4 linked regions of the Drosophila melanogaster genome follow. The protein of the gene in region 2 interacts with the protein of the main gene of each other region in a pairwise test. Each region holds a gene or a part of one and is shown on either strand. Other genes may lie near its edges. The genes, in order: CG4887, CG4586, CG13083 and Stam.

The links.
Region 1: the proteins of CG4586 (region 2) and CG4887 interact in a two-hybrid assay, tested with the Drosophila melanogaster proteins (one large-scale study listed by BioGRID).
Region 3: the proteins of CG4586 (region 2) and CG13083 interact in a two-hybrid assay, tested with the Drosophila melanogaster proteins (one large-scale study listed by BioGRID).
Region 4: the proteins of CG4586 (region 2) and Stam interact in a two-hybrid assay, tested with the Drosophila melanogaster proteins (one large-scale study listed by BioGRID).

Annotation. Positions count from the first base shown.
Region 1 is NT_033779.5:1,171,331-1,178,123, forward strand, and holds CG4887 (uncharacterized protein), read left to right. Parts: upstream 1-1,678; 5' UTR 1,679-1,870; coding exon 1,871-1,989; intron 1,990-2,049; coding exon 2,050-2,499; intron 2,500-2,553; coding exon 2,554-2,800; intron 2,801-2,866; coding exon 2,867-2,936; intron 2,937-3,166; coding exon 3,167-3,240; intron 3,241-3,579; coding exon 3,580-3,657; intron 3,658-3,716; coding exon 3,717-3,843; intron 3,844-3,956; coding exon 3,957-4,193; intron 4,194-4,248; coding exon 4,249-4,713; intron 4,714-4,770; coding exon 4,771-5,551; intron 5,552-5,611; coding exon 5,612-5,861; intron 5,862-5,925; coding exon 5,926-6,042; 3' UTR 6,043-6,259; downstream 6,260-6,793. Other genes in the region: charon, read right to left, coding at 1-313, 384-583, 693-1,289; CG4896 (uncharacterized protein), read left to right, coding at 6,620-6,714, 6,778-6,793.
Region 2 is NC_004354.4:6,968,334-6,972,813, forward strand, and holds CG4586 (uncharacterized protein), read left to right. Parts: upstream 1-1,584; 5' UTR 1,585-1,684; coding exon 1,685-2,643; intron 2,644-2,751; coding exon 2,752-3,826; 3' UTR 3,827-3,932; downstream 3,933-4,480. Other genes in the region: Setd3 (SET domain containing 3), read right to left, coding at 1-259; CG3040 (uncharacterized protein), read right to left, coding at 4,126-4,480.
Region 3 is NT_033779.5:19,485,702-19,489,231, forward strand, and holds CG13083 (uncharacterized protein), read left to right. Parts: upstream 1-1,788; 5' UTR 1,789-1,822; coding exon 1,823-2,676; intron 2,677-2,733; coding exon 2,734-2,830; 3' UTR 2,831-2,990; downstream 2,991-3,530. Other genes in the region: CG13084 (uncharacterized protein), read left to right, coding at 1-196, 256-695; CG10194 (uncharacterized protein), read right to left, coding at 3,107-3,511.
Region 4 is NT_033779.5:10,856,591-10,862,556, forward strand, and holds Stam (signal transducing adaptor molecule), read left to right. Parts: upstream 1-1,945; 5' UTR 1,946-2,244; coding exon 2,245-2,287; intron 2,288-2,779; coding exon 2,780-3,057; intron 3,058-3,116; coding exon 3,117-4,320; intron 4,321-4,386; coding exon 4,387-4,931; 3' UTR 4,932-5,416; downstream 5,417-5,966. Other genes in the region: aurB (aurora B), read right to left, coding at 283-420, 481-1,198, 1,254-1,387.

The sequences.
Region 1 (6,793 bases), on a different chromosome or scaffold from region 2:
ATCGTTGGTTAGCAGAAGACTGTTCAAATCGATTCTGCGCAACAGCAGCCTAATGGACTCTATATTTATATGGTTTATCACCGCCAGATGAAGAGCTGTGTTTGAGTTCTCGTAGAGGTGGTCGGTCATCATGCGAGCGTCCAGGATGAGCGATACAATCTCGGTGTCCGTGTCGTTCGTCAGCGCAAGTTCCAGGCAGTCCTCGCCGTCCCTGGTGAGTAGTTCGTTGATGTCCATTTTCGCGTGGCAGCACACAAATATCTGACGCTTAACGCCGTAAACATCGCCGTGCAGTATTTCCTCGTGAATGGGTCTGAAGTGCCATGTGAAAAGATGATATCATTACGATGATGATGGTCTTATTCGGCTAAATGAATACTTACAGCAATCCTTCTTCGGACATTATGTGCGACTTTCTGAATTCGTTGGCCATGATGCGTATAATGCGGTCCTCGGTGTTTCCGCTTATAAAGTTTTCCACCCGGGTCAACTCATCGGAGTTGAACGATATATCCGACAAGGTAGAGTTTCGGCGTACAGGGGTTTTATTCGTGATCTGATATGATTCGAAGTTTTGCGCTTGCTGTAAGAAAGATATTTATAATAAAATCGTATATATATTTCCATTCGAGATTTATGAACTTAGTACTTTCCAGGAGGAACTACTACATCATAATAATACTTGTACTTACGGTGACATCCCTTTTCTTCCGTTTAGTGATCACGGGCGTCAGTTGCTTCTCCTCGCGCTCCTTAAGCGCCATCTCAGCCGCTGATCGCTTGACCACCTGTGGCACGCAGGTGTTTCGCTTTCTACCGCGCTTTTTAGGAACTTTGGTCGGATCTACTGGCGGTTTTATAGGTTCGGAACTTGAACTGGTCATGTGGCTATGCCTATTCCCTTTGGCTTCGCATGAATTATTTGTAATGCCAGGCATATGCGTTTCCTCGGTGTCCCAATCCGTTTGTGTAGATGAATCGACTTTTTGGACTCCGCACGAACATTGTTTACCGTGATTGGAGATAGCGACCTTATCGTTATTATTGCTCTCGTTTATCGCGTCGATCACCCTTTGGGTAAGGGCTTTGTCTGGGATTTTCATGAGTAATTTGAAGATGTCCTCGTAGACGGGCTGGAAGGACTTGCGCTGGATGTAGGTAGAGGCACTATGTGGCGCTGAGATGGATATCACTCGCAGGGAACCGACTGGTTTGATCACCAAAACATCCGAACTACTAGCGACGACTGGTTGGATGTGCTGGGCTTTGGTCAATAGAACCTTCTTCATCGTGGCCGTTTTACAATGCACTGCTCGATCTCGCAATATCTACCAGCGATAAGGCCGTCAGCTAGTGATTGAATTCGTGGGACTTCCAAGTTTAGGACGATCAAAAAAAAACTAATTGGTTTTTCCCCACGACACGCTGCACGGAATGGCAAGTAGCGGCACTCGGACGCTGCTCAACACTGCTCCTAAGGATGGTTGGTGAGCAGTCAGACAAGAGCACTGTTATTGCTGATAGCTAATGTAATGTTTGTTTTTTAAGAAAAGAGTAGTTTTCGTTAAAAAAAACTTTATAATTATGTTATGGTCTAGAACCTAGAGTTTTTAATGCTTAAAAATATATAGCCATCTTTCGTTGCAAAATACATAAATATAAAAGGGCCATCTCTAGCTTTAGAGAATTATCGGCGTTTCGCTGCGAATGGCACATCGAGTATTCTTGAGAAAAAAGATACGGTGGTCCTCCATAAGGAACCGGGATAAAAATATTAAGGCTAAGTTACCAAACAGATCGTGAAGGATTCCGCATCGAAGCTCTATTGCCACTGGTGCCTGCCCAGCGTCTATGCCAAAGCAAGTCGGCAATGGACTCGAGTAGTCGGCGCAGTTTTTCTGGTGGAAGTGAAAACGAGGGTGGACGGGGCAGCGACTACTATAGATCCAGGCCGGGGTCTCGATACAGTCGATCCAGGTCGCGTTCCCGGTAATTCTACCCTACCAGCGTAATGCGATCGTGTTTATTAGTACTGTGTACCCTTTTCAGTGAGCGCAACCGCAGCCATGGAGGAATCAGGCACCGGAACTCTCGCTCTCGAAGTCGGGATCGGGATCGGTCGCCCGTGTTCAGAAACGATCAGCATCGCGGTGGTCGAGGAGGAGCTGGTAACGGGGACCCCGACCTTTACCACAGCCTGATCAACGACGACTACAGGGATCAGGATGAGCGCAACTACAACTCCAGGAGCAACTTTGAGAATCGTCAGTTCCGGCGACATGATAGCTTCGACCGTCGGCATCGGGACCGAGATGGCGAGAGCGATCGGGAGCTAAACGACTACGAGTACGAACAGCGCTCCCGCGACTTGGACTCACGTGATCGTAGCTCCACGGACAGGGACTGGTATCACAACAGAAGTCGGAGCAGGGAACACAGCAGACCCTGGAACAGAAACAACAATCACGACGACAGAAGCAGAAGCAACGAGCGAAACACGTGAGTATAAAGTATACATACACTTCAGGCTAAATAATAAATCGGACCGTGCAGGCGCCACCGAGATCACCGCATGTACAACGGCGGTGGCAGCAACCATAATCGCGATCGAGATCGAGATCGGGATAGGGAGCAAGACCGTGAACGTGATCGAGATCGAGATCGGGATCGTGAGAGAAGGGGCTCCTCAGATTACGACAGCGATGAAGGCCACATGCGCAGGAACAAATACCGATCCACCACTGAAGCCCTCAATATTATTATAATCTTCGGTCTTACCAAGGAAATGACCAGAGCAGATGTAAGCCAAGCAGAAGAGTGGCAAATGCAACTCCTTTAATTACTCATGAACTAACTTTTTTTTTAGATTATGAGCGAGCTGATAAAGGTGAACATGGAGCCAGCGTGCATTCGCATTATCCGGAAGCAGGGAACAGGTGGGTTACGAAATCACTGACTTTGTTCTTTCAGCGTCAGACGTAAGTAGGTCCAAAAAGTTGGAGCGGCTTCGCGCTAATGGAGGCGAAGTGTACAAGTACCAATCGAATTTAACCGGCCACATGAATCGAAAAGAATACAATAGTCCACAAAAATGTTACAAACCTATCGAAACATTCAACATTTTTTGACGAAAACATTTTGTATCTGCTTCTATCCGAAAATTTAGATTCATCACGCGGTATAGCGTTTGTCGAGTTTAACACCGTTGAGGAGGCAAAGCAATGGATGGATATTACACAGGTATCAGCGCAATCGACCAGATCCCCTTGAAACTTTGATCATCATCAGCAGCCAAGGTTGTTCGCAGGCAATGATAATAAGGAATTCCTCACTGTTTAGCTTGCTTTGTCCAACTAAAAGTACTTATATGTAGTTGCAAGGAAACTAAGCACGAGTATAGTATTGCTTCATTAGAATTGCCCAAGAAAGCCACTCGAGGAGATTGCCAGCGGCTAAAACTTCGCGTTACGAAACACAGATGCAATCCGGTGACTGTGTAGAGTGTGAATGAAGGCATCCTAGCGATCGGTTACTAATCCGCAACCTTTCCTTCTCCTATTTCCATGTCTGGCGCACCAGGGCGTTCTGAAGTTAAACGACGAGCGGGTGAGCATGCGGTACAGCCACAAGCGAATTCAGGACTGGAACTGCAACAAGGTAGGTGCACTGAGATGATCATATTCTTAATGGCGAGTAATGTGTTTCGCTTGTTCCAGTGTGGCGTCTGCAACTTCAAGTTTAGATTCTATTGCTTTGTGTGCAAAACATCCCGGGAAGACAGCGAAACCACCTTCTCCTCCGGTAGCGAGGGCGTGGACGAAGTCAGCACCATCCTCACCAAAAGTATACAAACCACATAGACTCTCTTGCCATCTCGTTTTGTAGCTTCGATCGCAATGAAGTCCAACAGACCACTGACCGCCACGATTTCTCTACCACTTCCCCAATCCACGCAGAGATCATGCTACGCAACCTGGACGCCCTGACCAACGAAGAGGCTGTGCTCACTGCCCTCCAACTTCACCTAAAGGATCTGAGCAAGACCGTGAGCAAGGTGCTAATTAGTCGGGATTCCTTGACGCAGGCATCGCGTGGAATTTGTTACCTTCACTTCGACACTCTTGTCGACTCGATGAATGTGCACAATGCCTTGACAGCGCTGGATCCTCCACTTACCTTGGACGACAGAGTTGGTATGTGGCCTTAGGTGCTTTTTATAACTTAAATAATAACCAATATTTCATCCAGTGGCCATTACCTATTGCATCGACTTGGAGGAGCAGCAAGCATTGCCCAAGAACCCTAAAGAATTGGCAGTTAAAGATTCAACTGTCAATAGCGGGAACATTTCAGCAGTTTCGCCCTCAGGATTGGGTGGAAACTATACTCTGGCCGATGTGCCACGACTCGCTGAATATAGTGCCTCCCTGTACGCTTCGAATCCCGCAGAGCACGCTTATTATGTCCAGTACTATACGGAGTACTACACGGCAGATATAAACAAAAATAACAGGGATTCCCATTTGACGGAAGCCAATTCCGGAGCAGCGGTTGCCCTCTCGGCCATCCAGCGCAAGCAGAAGAAGATGAGCAGTATCGAGACCACGATCACAGCGGCGGCCACAGCTGCCGCACAGGCAGCGGCGCAAGTGAAGGCCACATTGGCTGCTCAGGTGGCCAGTGCGCCCAAGGGCAACGATGGAAAGATATACCGTATGTCGCCACTCACTTGAGTATGCTAGCATTTTATTATGTTTCATTATGTTGCAGCCACTCCCGATGTGACGCAGTACCAGTATGATGAGACATCCGGCTACTATTACGACAGTACCACGGGTCTCTACTACAATGCCCACTCGCAGTACTACTATAACAACGAGACGGGCGCGTATCTTTACTGGGATCAGCGCAGGAGCACCTATGTGCTGGCCACGCCCGCCTCCACTCAGGCAGCTCTGCAGGAAGTCCTGGCCGACGCCGAGCAAAAGGGGGAGGAGGAGTCCAAAAAGGCGAAGGAGAAGGAGGGTGGAAACAAGCACGACAAGGTTAAGGTGGCGAAGAAGATCGTCAAGGACATGGAGAAGTGGGCCAAGCAGCTAAACCAGAAAAAGGACTACACAGCTGTGGCCACGCCACAACCAATATTGGCGAACGAGGTAGCCACCACTTCGCGTGGCAATCAAGGGGGATATGCTGATGTGGGATTCTCCATTCTCGAGAAGAAGGAGAGGGGCAAGTTAAACGACTATGCGCCAAACCCGACTGTGGGTCCAATGAACAAGCTTGTCAATGCCTATGGCGGAACATCGGACTCTGAAGAGGACAATGCTGCGAGTTCGCAAAACACACAGAGTTCAGCGGTTGTAAGCGGCGGAGGAGGTGCTGAAGAGTCCGATTACGTGGACTTCCATAAACTGACATGCCTGCTCTGCAAGCGTGCCTTCCAATCGTTGGAAATACTCCAGAAGCACTTGAAGATGTCCACTCTGCACAAGGAGAACCTGGCCAAGCTCAATCAAAACACTAGCAGTAGCATCGAAGAGGCACTAGCGTAAGTGAAATCGCGATGTGTGGTGGAGTATATTATCATTGAATTCATATTCTTTCCCAGCTATCGTGATCGTGCCAAGGAGCGCAGGCTGAAGTACGGCGAGAGCGATCCTCCCCCACCAAATAGGAGCAGGGAGCGATTCGAGCAGGAGATCAAGACACTGCAGTCGCGGCAAAAGCAGTCTACTAGCGCTACTCCAGCCATGCCCATCAGTTCGAGCAACGTGGGCAGTCGACTGCTCCAAAAGATGGGTTGGTCGGAGGGACAGGGACTGGGCAGGAAGAACCAGGGACGCACCCAGATCATAGAGGTAACTGAGCTGACGGCAAGCTATAAAATGAATTAAGAAAATTAAGCATTTTGGGTTCCCTCAGGCGGACGGACGCTCCAATTACGTGGGCTTGGGCAACAAATCGGGACAGATGATACCGGGCAACGACTACAAATCCTATATAAAGAAGATGATGAAGCAGCGCTACGAGAATGCTTGAGAAATTGGTTTTTAGCCGTTTCACATGTTTCATTTCAACTAAAGTCGCCGTTTAATTCAGCTTTTCAACCGAAGCAAAAATTATTTCCATATTATATATGAAGCTTCTTGAGCATTGTTTTCCTAACAGATTGGCGTTTTTTTAAGTCCACGAGCAAGTGTGACCGTTTAGTTAATAGTTTCTGATTAAGCGAATTTAAATCCTTTTTCGAATGTACAAAATAAAATGTAACGGTGTAAAGTTTAAATTTGCTTGGTGTTGGGAAACAACTGTTAGCTGGCACTTGGTAGCCCTGGAGCTATCGGTCAGTTATCGATAACTGGCAGTCAGATACTTCGGGTGAACGGCAAAAAAGAAGACCGAGAATTTTTCTATTCGGGTTTTTTTTTTTGGCCGGATAACTGATTGTTTCTGCCTGAATGCAAAGAGACTTCCAGTTCGGGAACAAGTTTAACCAGCTTCCAATCCTGTTACAGTCGTGGTAACCAAGTAAGATGTGCGCACATAGACGGTTCATCTAATGGCAAAAGGCCAAATCACAAACACTGCATTTAATTACAATCGATTCGCATTAGATATGGATTCTCGATATGGTCACAGCTTCTCGGGCGGCAACGGAAACGGCAGCGAATCGGGCTACAGACGCTACAGTCGCTCCCGATCCCGATCCAGGTAGGTAGTCCTTTGTCCACCTGGAGCCTCTTAGTGGATTACTACCAATTGCGATTATTTCAGGGAACGAAGTCGGGAC
Region 2 (4,480 bases):
GCAGCTCCTGTAGCTGCCCGTACTGCTTCCATTCCTCGTTGGGATTCGCCGGTTGCTTTTCCACCAAGTCAAGCAGTTCCTCGACGAGCTTGTTTAGTTGGCTCCTCTTTTTGCCGTTTAAACTGGGCAACGAACTGGCCGCCTGCTGGTCCTCAAAATCCTCGACTGCTGTGCCGGATGCGGATGCAGTTACTCCGTTTTGTTGTGGCTGCTGTTGCTGCTGTTTTGTCTTCTTGTTGCGCTTCGTGTTCTTACCCATGGCGGTGCCGTTGGTGGGAGCGAGAGAGAAAGACAGAGAGAGAGGAAGACAGAAAGCTAAGCGGTACCGGCGGCCCAAAACAACAACAGCCAAATAAGGAAAATAAAGTCGAGAAATCTGCACGCGGGCGATCAGCTGGCCGGCAGTGTGGCCATTCGTCGGGCGCCACTAAATTACTCCGACAATTGGTCACACATTCGACGAGCTTTTATGCTGAAAACTTTTTAATAGGGGTACTCCTAAGCTTTTTTTTATTACAAAACTTATGTTTTCTTGTAAAATAAATTGTAATTCACGTTGCATTTTTGGCACATCAATAATATTATAATAATTACTCTTTATAGTTATTAAAATGGCCAGTGTTTTTTTATATTTTATGTTGCATTCTTGAAGAGCGGGAAATTTAAATTGAGAATTTGTCCTAAAATCCAGGTTGCAGAAGCTCGTATGTATAATAATATATTTATTTATTTATATAAATAAAATCGCTCTTTCCATGTCTTTTAGTTTCTATTTATAAACAATTTGACAATGGCCCATAGGGTTATCTTAGATTTTCTAAACGTCATCCAATTGAGAAACGTTATGTTGATAACAAGAAATCCACGAAATAAAAATGTTATTGTACGAAAAAGAAATAATTGTTTGTTGAGCTTTGTGGGTTTTTGCAAAACAAAAACAACAAGAAATATTTACGATTTTCTTATCTACGGTAAAAAAAACTTGAACTAAAAAACTAGGAGATAATGCCGCTCATCAGATGTTTACGCACTTTGTGCCATTTTTGGCTAGGGTGGACCAACACACAAATCAGCGTTTGAGTTAATAGTAAGAAACAAATTCCGTCCAAATATACAACCTAGGATACGAAATCTAAAACATGATAAGTGCATCTTGTAAGAAAGACGCAGTTTGAGAAACTTTCGACAAATACGGAATATGGTCCACCCTAAGGCGCTCAAGCAATTTGAGAGTGGCTCAGTTCTCAGTTCAGTGACTCCAATGCAGCAACAACGGCGGTTGGAGCACCAGCGGGCAGAGCGCGAAAGAGAGGCAGTGGTGGGGCTCCAAAGGCGTAGGCAGGATGGACCATCCAAAGGGGTTCCAGATCGCCTCTTCTGTATAAGTTATCCATAAATAGCTTATACACTGCATCCTTTATGAGTATAATGTGGTAAATGTATAAAGAATCCCGGTATATTAATTGGCAACTCATCTTTAATTTCGGATCACTGATAACCAACCATATTCCCCTGCTATCCCCGCCTTTGGTGACCTGGCTGCCATGTTTCGAGCTGCAGAACTGTTTCTTCCAGCCACCAACTTCTCAGTGCAATCGAGTCGTTCGAGCAGAGAAGTTGGGAAATCCCGTAGAAAAGTAAAACTCTAGGAAAAGAGAGATCGGGAAGGAGAGATAGAGCGATCATGTCTGTGAATGCGGATCTGCAGAGAGAGCGGGCGGCGGCCACCTTGGACAGCGAGGACTTTGCCCGCTGGTGGGCGGGTGGCTCTGGGCAGCTGGAGGAGCGCCGCGCCCTGGAAAGGCGTTTCTATGAGGATCCCGACTTCGCGGAGCCAGTGCATCCGAGCTGTCTGTCATACAAGGAGCGCTACGAACAGACCGTGGCCCGATCCACACGCTTCCTGGCCAAACTGCGCCAATGGCAGCGGGAGAAGCAGCCACAACTTCAGCTTAGTGTGAATATGCTGAGGGACTTTCGGCTGCTACTCTCCGGATCCCTGGGCACGGGCCTCTTCCAGCAGAGCTTCCCCCTTCGGGTGCATTTCTCCATGTTCATGACCACCTTGCTGAGCCAGGGAACCGAGGAGCAGCAGGCCCAGTGGCTCAATCGATCCTGGCACATGGACGGCGTCCTGGGCACCTATGCGCAAACGGAGCTGGGTCACGGCACCTTTGTCCGGGGCCTGGAAACCCGAGCCGACTACGATCCCATCACGCAGGAATTCATCCTGAACACCCCAACGCAAAGTTCATACAAGTGGTGGCCCGGCGGACTTGGTAATACCGCCAATGTGGCCATTGTGCTGGCCCAGCTATATGTGAAGGGCAAGCATTATGGCTTGCAATCATTTGTGGTGAGGATCAGGGACGAGAGGACACACGAACCGTTGACTGGAGTCGATGTGGGCGATATAGGACCTCGCCTGGGTGGCAATGGCGTTAACAACGGCTTTCTGGGACTCCGCGACGTGCGGATACCGCGCAATCAAATGCTGATGAAGAACGCCCAAGTCCTGACCGACGGCACCTTCGTCCAGGGTAGACCTCCGCTGCTGCTCTACGGCACAATGGTCTATGTGCGGGTAATTACCGTGAAGGATGTGCTCTTTGGACTGCTCCAGGCTGCCACCATTGCCACCAGGTGATTATATAGTTTCTGGGGATTATGTTTATCATAGCTGTTATTAAGCCCATAAAACACATTCAGCTCACCCAGGGTTCTTTAGATAATAATTATCATTATCTTTAGGTATTCCGTGGTGCGTCGCCAGAGCCGGATTAACAGCGATCAGCCGGAGGTCTCTGTTTTGGATCACATCACACAGCAGGCAAAGATTCTACCGCAAATTGCTCGAGGAGTGTCCTATCGCCTGGTATCCGATTGGCTGTGGCGCTTCTACGAGGACGTACTCCGCCAACTGGAGGATGAAAGCACGAAAGGACGCAACTCCCTGCCGGAGCTGCACGCCCTGAGCTGCTGCCTCAAGGCGGTGGCCACCGACGAGGCCAGCGAGGGAGTTGATCTGCTGCGCAAGAGTTGCGGTGGCCACGGATTCCTTTCCTCGGCGAATTTCGATAGCATCTATGGTCTGACCGCCGCCACATACACCTACGAGGGAGAGTACACAGTACTCCTGCTCCAGACAGCTCGTTTCCTCGTCCGGCAGTATGCGGATAGCTTAAAACGCAAGGTGCTGCCCTCCAGTGTCTCCTATTTGAGGGATACAGCCCGTTTGATTTGGGGCAAGAATCTGGTTGCGAATTGTGTGCGAGCGCTGGAGATTTCAGCCATGGAGCAGGTGCGTGATGCTTGGCAGACCCAGAAGATGCACCAATCCGGCAAGGTGAGTCCCGAGATGGCCAGCAATCTGGCTGGAAGGCAGCTCACCTCGGCTGCCATAGCCCATGCTCACGCATTCTTCACACGCAATGCACTGGAGCAAGTGGAAGCACTTCGAAAGAAGGGCGATCTTAGCCCGAATGTCTCACTCATCTTGGGCCAACTGGTTGAGCTTTTCGTCATCGATACATTCCTGCGACAGTCGGGATGCGTGCTGCGTTGGAACAACGGCATCACTGGCACCCAACTGCGCTTCGTGGAGCGTCGCTTTGAGGAGCTGCTGGCCAAGCTGCGACCCAATGCGGTGGCTCTGGTGGATGGATTCGATTTTCACGATCGTGTCCTGGGCTCCACGCTGGGGTGTCACGATGGCCGGGTGTACGAGCGTCTCATGGAGGAGGCACGCCGAAATCCGATCAACCAGGAGCCGGTCAACTCGTCCTTCCACAACCACTTGTTGCCCATGATGCGGGGAAAGCTGTGATGTGGGGCTGGTCTTTTGTTTTCTACATACGTATATGTTATTCACTAATTTTTGTATTGAAGTTGAATCATAACATTTTTTTTTAATAAAGGAAATAGGATTTCGCAATTGTTTGTTATTTTGCACTTACCATTTTCAAACTAACTTACTTGCTCGCCCTTGTTAAAGTTGTCTTTTTCCGATTTATTCGTATCGTTTTACACATTACACATATTGAATTAAGCTATTAAATTAGTTTACTCGGATAAATAAAGGCTGGGGTACACACAAAAAAAAAAGGGATTTGATCTGAATCGAGTCTAGAACATCTTCTTCCTGACCGCCGTATACCGCTCCATGTAGACATCGTAGCCATCGAGATCGGTGAACTGTTTCGAGTTGAACAGATTGCCGTCGACGGCCAGGTTGCAGATTTTCGAGTCCTTGAGGATCTTGGGTGTAAAGGCCGCTGCCTGAAGGCAGTTCTCCTCGAGCCGCAGTGTCTTCAGCTTGGGACAATCGGCTACTTCCTCCGCCAGCGAGGATATTTGGTTCTGGTTAAGGTTCAGTTCGGTCACAAACAGTCCGCCCACATCGGCGGGCACATCGGTGATCTTGTTCCTGGACAGGTCCAGGACATCCAGCTGCTTCAGACCGCACAGCATGGAGGGGAAC
Region 3 (3,530 bases), on a different chromosome or scaffold from region 2:
ATCATCTCGCAGAAACGCATCGAACTGGGTCTGGAAGAGTGCAGCCGACAACAGCCCTATCCGCAATATGGCCATCACGACGAGTCCTATCTTCCCACCTACGGAGCTGAGGTCCCAGAGCCGCAGCATGCTCATCCTAAGCCCAAGCAAGTGGATCTGGAACAGGTGTGGAGCATCAAGGAGGAGCCCAAGCACGGTAAGTGGTCCTTATTGCCACCAGATTAGGATCACAAATTAATGGCTTGTCGTTCATAGGAGAGCACTCTGGAAACCACAAAGCTACCGCCTATGCCCAGTCCCCCGAGCCAAAGAAGAACTATCAGAGCTCCAGCGCCGTGTCCTGGCGGCAGACGGTGCCGTGGGAGTACGGATCCCCATACCAGTCCGCTCCAGTTCACCACCATCAGCCATGGAACCCAGCTCCGGCCCACGTTCCCACCTCCGTTACCAAGCCCAAGCCGTGCCCCAAGAAAGAGCACCCTACTCCGGCATCCTATGTTCCTTTGCCACATGACCAGCCTGAATCCTACAAGCTTCCTGTGGATTACAGTCCCAAACCTAACCACGAGCAACCTCATAAGCCCCACCACGAGCCACAGTCTTACAATGAGGAGATCTACAAGCCACAGCCCATCCAGCCAGGAGAATCCTTCAGGATTTGGTATGGAGACAGTTCCCTCCCCCAAGGATACTAAAGGAAGATTTAACTGGGACTACCACTGTTACTGAAACTGATACAACTTTTCAAAGCATTTAACAAACTCTTTTTTTTTAATTCAGATTCATTACTTTGTACAATTTTTATGTTTTATAAATAAATAAAAAAAAAGCAAAGGAAATACATTTTTGATTATATTCCTAGCAAGTAATTAATAAATAACTTTTGAGAAAAAATGCTATAGTTTCATGGAAATCATATGCATCAACTTTTAGCATCGTATGCGAAAATATACATTCAATTTCCAAAAACTTTTCTCAAAATCTATTCAAAATATACGAAGAAATTTTTGTTATTTTGTATGTTTTGTAGGTAAATAAATTCACCTTACTATTAACCTATGCTATTGTTTGTTGATAGAAGCAAATTTTAAAAATATTTTAAGCTTTTTTAAAAGTTAATAGTAAAGGATCCAAGTTTGTTTAAATTTGCAAAAGGCATCTTGGCCAATTTTTGAATAGGCATGATAATATGAAGGATAATTAATTATACTGCTGTTTTCGAAATAGGAAACAAAATATAGACTTATTAAACTTTTACAAAATTACTTTAGTTCGCTTTATTACTTTATTTCTTGTAAACGATAGACAGTATGCCCGAAAACATTTGTTACGTTATCATTACCTTCGAAGACCTATTTTCTGAATGAATTTGAACAAGAAGCAGCTGGGGCACGTTTTTCAGTGGTGTTATTACTACCGTAGCACACAAAAAACCGGGTCAATCTGTTCTGTTTAGAAACAAAGAAGAATTTTGAAACGTGACACTACACGGATTTTCCCTAACTTTACCAAGATGTCGATGAACCAATAACTATTTAGTACGACTACATGCAACATAATTCGCTTTAGTTCTTTCTTTTTACAAGATGATAAAACAGTTGTTCGCGACTATCTTCTTAGTAGTAGGGAAATTCTCGTAAACACACTATTACAGATTGGAGCAGCATTTGCACCTGCACCCGCTGAAGAGAAGTGGGTGGTGACCGAACTGATAGAACTTAACCCAGTCTAAGACACGTTTTGGACCTTAAGTTGGGCTACTTAAGTTGCGGTTCGGATCGAAAAGAGACACTCAGCGGGGAGCGGCCATCAGAGAAACACCATGAGAGTGCGACTGACTTTGCTAACGATATGCATTTACCTATGCGCGGCTGCAGCTGAGGATCTGGACTCCATCCATGAGATCCGCAGTGAGGTGGAGGAGCTGATCAAAGGTACGGAGGAGCTAAACCATGGGCTGCAGAAAGTGAAGGACGTGCAGAAGGGCATTGAAGAGAAGTTCAAGCATCAGCGCGACGAGATCGAACTCATTGCTGGATTGGAGGTTGCCATAGCCAAGCTGGAATCGAACGTTCAAAGCAGCTTCCAAGCCACGGCCTCTGGAGTGGGAAATTTGACAGCCATTGTTAACGCAATCCAGGGTCAGAATGAAAACTCTATTAGGAATCTTACCAAAGTGGAGCTAGAAATCAGGAAAGCCCTGGAACAAGTGGCTGCCAATCAGAACAAATACGAGCAGAACCTAAATGAAGTGGCCTCATCCGTCAACTCGCATCTGTCGGAGATTCAGCAGCTGCTATCACAGGCCGTCATAGGGGAACTCATCGGCTTGGACAATAAAGCGAAGGTCCTCCAGGAGCAGCAGCGCAACATCGTGGGTCAAGTGGGATATCTGGGCGAACTTAAGGCTCTGGCAGATCGTGCCAATCGCAAAGTCAATCAATTGGAGTGGGGTCTGGTCATTCTCAACCGCACTCAGTCCGAGAGCCTCAACAGCATCGAGCACACTGTCCATGGAGTGCAGGTGGCCACCTCACAGGTCGATCATAAACTGGCTGCCCTACTGAACAATCAGAAGAACATTGAAAGGACGCTGGATGGCTGCAAGCACAAAAATCCGTCACACCAGAAGCCCCACGAGATCTGGACTCACCCGGAACACGCACCAATTTACAAGTAAGTTTGTATGCCCTACTTCTGGGTGCACACTAAAACCACTCTTTTCATTTTAAGGCCAAAACCAGAGGGCAATCAAGGATACGAGAACGTCTATGCATCCCAAGAAGAGGCTGAATACCTATACAAACTTTGGTATGGAAAGGGCCAGTAGCATTAATACGAAAACTGAAGATAGATGTTTTATGCCATATTCAGAAATTGCTTGATTTCCTATATCAAATCCCAGCATGTCGATTCTATCTATCTTATATAATTGTATATTAAACCGTTCTGTAACACAATGTAATAAACAAGAGTAAATGGAGGAAATCGAACTTTATAAGTTGTATATTGCTAAAAAGTGTTATGTCCAACTTTATATATCAATTGTTGGAAAACTTATAAAACTAGATAAATGCACCTGACATAGAGGAAACCGGCTCTACCTCTATAATTTTGTTGGATCCAATGGATGAACCTGACCATCATCCCGCTCAAACTTAATTATCAGCTGCGACTGATGCTGGTTCCAGTGCTCCGATCGATGTAATTTAGCATTCGTCTTCGAACGGAATTCCTCGACTGACAAATCGATCTCAATTTTTTCGTTACTTGCATCCGGATCGGCGGGGTAAGCATCATCTCCTGGCAAGAGATGCACTAATCCATTTGTACACTTGTGCACTACAGGATGAATCAGCTGAATGCCTTTGACCTCACGCTCTGCTGCAAACTGACGCAGGTTATCTAAAGAGGAGAAGTTTAGGCAGCGCGAAAGTTCATAGAATTGTGGAGGCGGCAGCCAGAGTTCTTTTCTTAGGCTCGCTTGAAGGTAGTCCAATGGGGAACGCCACTACAATAATATAAATGAT
Region 4 (5,966 bases), on a different chromosome or scaffold from region 2:
TTGTCATTTATTTATTTAGGGTGACCGTTTGCGGGAAGCGCGAAAATATAGCATGGCCCACGAACTGGAACTAAGTAAGGCATGGGCTTAGAAAAATTAATTTAAAAGGGGTTAAATTAGAAAAAGGTAATTTAAGTAAGTTACTACCAATAGATTTTTATTTTTAAGCAGTTTTCAGATTTCAAAAATATACTCCAAACTTCATTAAATCTTATAAACCGTTTATTAAACATAAAAGTAAAATCTGAAATAAGTCGTTACACAATGCAAACTCGAAACCAGTCAATTTCTGGCCGTGTTCTCCTTGCCGCGCTCCCGTTTCTGCAGCTGCAGCTCCCTTTCGGCCATTCCCGCCTTCACCCAATAATGGGTCATCACATCCACCAAGGTGATGCGGCCCTTGCTTTCCTTGCGAAGCAGCTGCAAAGATGAAATCCCTGTTCAATAAATGGATCTCAAAGGAAACATCTTCCAACTCACCCCGCCAATCAATTCCTTGCAGCCCTTGGACAAATGCGATGGGTAGGAGATCTCCATGCGCCGGATCTTGCTGTAGGTGCTCTCCGTGCTGTTCGACTCGAAGGGCGGACAGCCGACGACGAACTCGTAGCACAGAATGCCCAGGCACCACTGGTCCACCGAGTCGTCGTAGGAGTTCCCATCCACCATCTCCGGCGGCAGATAGTCCAGGGTGCCGCACAGAGTCCTGCGCTTGTTGTTCGGCGTGTGCGCCGACCAACCAAAGTCGGCCAGCTTAAGGTCGTCCGTGCTGGTTAGCAGAATGTTCTCCGGCTTCAGATCCCGATGGATCACGTTGTTCAGGTGACAGTAGTTGAGGGCATTCGCCACTTGGTAGGTGTACTTCGCAGACCGCGGTTCATCGAATCGATGATTGGGTGCGCCACGCAGGTGCTTGAACAGCTCGCCCTCGGACGCAATTTCCAGGGCCAGATAGATGCGGCTCTCGTCGTGGAACCAAGTGAGCAGGCGCAGGATGTGCGGGTGCTTCAGTCGCGACTGGATCTCGATCTCGCGTAGAACCTGACGCTGCACGCAGCCCTTGCGCAGCTCCTCTTTGAACATCACCTTCATGGCCACCAGATAGTGCGAGTGGCGCTCCCGCGCCAAGTAGACACGTCCAAATTTGCCGCGTCCCAAGTGGGCGCCCATCTCAAAGTCCCGGGGACTCCAATCGTATCTGGAGGGAGCAGATTAAGTACGGATTGATACATTAGCTTATTGCTTGTACGTACGGCTGTCCGTATGCGTCGTGGGACATCATCTTGAGGCACATATTCTTGATCGGCTCCTGGTGCTCCTCGGGCACCTTGGCCAGCAGGTGCGGCAGGTGGTTGCGGTTGGCGTGCTTCGCGCGGGAAAGCGTCATGGCGCTGACTTGTTTATAATATTATGATTTTTAAGTAAATTAATTATTTTAAGTTGTATTTTCTATAAGCGTCCCTTTTGTTTGCGCGTTTTTTTCGAATGCTGAGATTAGTGTGACCGCATGCTAGAATCGAGTTATTCTGTGACTCTCAGTGAAGCAGTTAAGTCACTGTATTTTTAAATTCGGTCAACGTATAATAAAATATTTTCATGTTTCTTAAATAAAAATTAATCTTCTAGTTTTGTTCTTATATTGTGCATAGTTATTATAATATACGCTTCTCACCCGTAGGAGAATAGTTTGAGTGAAGGGCATAGAAAACTGTTTAATTATTATAAACCATAGCTACCAGTGCTCAAATCATATCAGATGTTTAATAGATTTATATTATTAGTTGTCTAAATTTATTTAAATATACAATATCAATAATATTTATATGTATATATAAATAAAAATGTTTTGCATAATATAAGTCTCGAATACCTCTAACTAACCATTGAAAATGAGCTGCAAAAAATCCTTTGGATTTCCCGACTATTCGCAATCTGGCCACACTCGCCATTAGTCATTTTTTACACAATAAACGTAAATTAAGCGAATTTGCAAGCGCTATTCGGAAGTTTTTAGGCTAATCGAAAAGATATAAGCAGCCCAAAAGAGATTTGGAAAAAAGCGAAAAGGTCTACGCAGGAGGAAGTACACCAAAAGCGTGCTTTCAGTCGCCGTGACGCACCGAAAATCGATTGGAGAGGAAAAACAATAGGGAAAACAGACAAAGATCAACTGATTTGGATTTATTGACCCCAGGGCAGCGCAGATTATTGGCAGATAGCCGAGCGAGCGGTTTGGTCATAAAGATGGGAATCTTTGGGCAGTCGTCGCCATTCGACGCCGACGTGGGTGAGTTACCACTTATCGTTAAGCTGTTGTGTTGGCCGATTGGACAAGCCGATGTTCCAATTGGACTGCACAACGGTCCAATATGCGTTTCATAGTTTTCTATTCTTATCTGGGGTCTAAAAACCCGCACACCACACCATTTTCCCCTGTTTTCCCTATGAACCCGATCCCCCGATTGAGCAGACAACAAAGAAAGTCATGTGAGATGCTGTGCGCAGCTCTGCGTCGTTCGTTGAACTTCTTATTGGAGTTGTTAGATGGCAGTCGCTGACCTTGAGTGACGTAGCACCCGCAGCCCCTCACACCCCCTCCGTTTACGCAGCCAACCCCCTCGCCATCCCTTAATGCAATTTAGTTAGTTTCCGATTGTATTGATTTTCTTTAGCTGCAATCAGTTTTCGAAGAAGCTTATCTTTGTTTTGCTGTGACTCAGAATATAAATTTCTATTTGACTGATAAGCTAATGCGGTTCATGCCTTTCTTGTTTTATAGAAAAGGCCACCAGCGAAACTAATACCAACGACAACTGGTCTCTGATTTTGGATGTATGCGACAAGGTAACGACCAATCCCCGCCTGGCCAAGGATTGCCTGAAGGCGGTGATGCGCCGCATGGGCCACACCGATCCTCATGTGGTGATGCAGGCGATTACGCTTTTGGACGCCCTGTCCAACAACTGCGGAAAACCGCTCCATTTGGAGGTGGCTTCACGGGATTTCGAGACGGAGTTCCGCCGCCTGTTGGCCAAAGCACAGCCAAAGGTTTCACTGGTGAGTACAAACAGTTTTAACTCACTTATTTCATTTCTAATTCCAATTATGATTCACAGAAAATGCGCCAAGTGCTGAAGAACTGGGCTGAAAACGACTATAAGAACGATCGAGAGCTCGACTTGATACCCGCACTCTATGCCAAGCTGCGCCAAGAGGGATATGATTTCAAGAATCTTGGCGATAAGACTAGCAAGACTGTTGCCGAAAAGGCCGCCGCCCTGCCCAAAGATCCGAATGTGGTCAGCAGCCAGCAGGAAGAGGATGACATCGCCAAGGCCATCGAATTGTCGCTGAAGGAGAACAAGGGCAGTCCAAAGACTGGGAGTGTAGCAAGTACCGGCACCGCCAGTGCCTATCCCTCATTGTATCCATCTTTCGCTGGAACCGGCTCGAGTGCACCGAGCGCCGAAGCCAGTTCCGCACCAGCGCCAGAGCCGAGAAAGGTTCGAGCTCTGTACGATTTCGAAGCTGCCGAGGAAAACGAATTGACCTTCTTTGCCGGCGAGATCATTCATGTGCTGGATGATAGTGATCCAAACTGGTGGAAGGGATACAATCAACGCGGCGAGGGTCTCTTCCCCTCGAACTTTGTCACTGCCGATCTGTCCGTCGATCCCGAGCGGCTGGACATCAATCAGCAGCATAAGTCGGCCGCCGCAGCCGGGCAACGAGAGTTGGATTCCGCTGCGGCACTGCAGCAAAAGACTGAAGCGGCAGCAGCTGCCGCCGCAGCTCAGCCTGTGGAGATCGACGAGTCAAAGATCGACCGGCTGCTGCATTTGCTGCACGAGGCGAATCCCGAAGATCCCTCGCAGGACAGCGACGAAATGCTGCAGCTGGAGCAGGAGGTCCATCAGATGGGACCGCTGATCGATGCCGAGCTGGAACGCGTCGACCGCAAGCACGCTCAACTGACGCAGTTGTCCAGCGACCTCGTCGACGCCATTAATCTGTACCATACCTTGATGCGGGATGACCGTGCTGCGGCTGGACATTTTGCCGCCGCTGCTGGCGGCTTTATGCCTGGACTTGCTGGTTTCCCGGGTGCCGCTCTGTACGGTGCTCCAGGTTATCCTGCAGCGGGTGGATTCCCACCGGCCCAAAATTATCCGGGCATGCACTCGATGCCATATGGCCCCGTACCAAATCCTCCCACTTCTGCTCCATCTCAGGCACCTGGAGCTCCTGGTGGCTATCTGGGTCAACCGCAGGGGCAGGTGCCACTGCCCTATCAGAACGGACATGCCGCACAGATGAACTGTTAGTACAAAGGATTAAAATACTTATTATATTTACCTATAATAACATTTTCAATCGTCTTTCCAGCGCTGCCAGCCCATTTGACTCAACCCACTGGCACTGCACCCATGCCCCAGCCAATCTACACTCAGCCGACTCCCGTGACCACCCAACAGCAGCAGCAGCCACTTCCACAGCACCCTCAACAGCCGCCACAGCAGCAAGGCCAGCAGCCCCCACAGCATCCCCAGAACAGCTACCACATCGACCCCCAGTCACAGTACGCCCAAGTTCCGCCCGCAGTCACACAAATCCAGCAGCCGCAGCAGCCACCGGCTCCGCACGCTTACATGTCGCCGCAGCATCAGCAGGCACCGCCACCACAGGGATACCAGCCAGGACCAAATCTTTATGGACCGAACGGATCGCCGGCCGTCGTCAACCCGCAGAGCTACATGTCCCCACAGCAGCAGCAGCAACAACACCCACCACCACACGATCAGTTTAGTCAGCTGCATCAGCAGATGGCCGCCATGTCCATGGCTGGCGGACCGCCAGTTGGGGCGCCCGGCTATCACATGCAGAACGATGCTGTCAAGAACAACATTCCTATCTACCAGCAGCAGCGGTAAGACCGCTGCACTAAAACAGAGACCTTCACTTGGTTCGCTTTGAATTGCCCGAGCAACTTTAAGCTTTGTCTTCATTCTGACAAAAGGATGTCATCGAGTATGTTAGTTTTGGCCAACTTGCCGAGAAACGGAAGTTGTCAAATCTCTGCTATGTACATTTTGAGAAGAGCAATTGTCAGTGAACCAAATATGTCGACTATCCTTTAAAATAACGAAAGAAGCCAAATTAATATCAAGTATACCCTTACGAGTTTTCGTTTTTTGTGTTTATATTTGGTCCAACGAAATGATATATTTTTCTGGAAGTAAGGCAATACCAGTCGAAAAAGATATATATACCATATAAATAATCTGTATTCAACAGCACGTATAACTTTGTATTTAGTGCAGGGGAGATAACTATTATGTATTATGTTTATTGTACGGATTATGATAAATCTAACGAAACGAATCACATTCATTAAAATCATAAAAATATACTAAGTAAACACAATGTCTTTGAAAATTGCAAGTCAAAAGCTTACGGCTACCCTTCTCAAATATTTTCAGCACTAGCAATCGATGTGGAATAATTTTCAAGAAAATTTTGGAAATCAGATGAAGTTTTTAGAAATTTTTTTAGTGATAAAGAAAGCAGATTATTTGTTTATTTCTCACTTGAATTGTTTGTTTATTTTTATGATATTTATTTAAATTTTCTTATCGATGCTATAAAACATGAAGGTAAAATTCTTTATGTAGGCTTCAGAAAGAGTAATCTGCATTGCTTTATAAACTGAAACAATTCAGCACGAGTTTTGGATTCGCACCCCTTTTAAACTTAACATGCTTAGAGCTCCATTCAACTGCGCTCATCCCCTTTTCGGAGAATACCTCCCTCCGCTCGTGTTAGTGCGCTTTTCCGATGAGATTCCAATATATTCAGACAAGCTTTGCCACATGCCACTGTCTCGCAATCCGGCAAACATGCAACAATTTAGCAAAATTCCATCCGGCATTCGGTGGCACAAATATCCTGTGAAATAAACTGTCAAA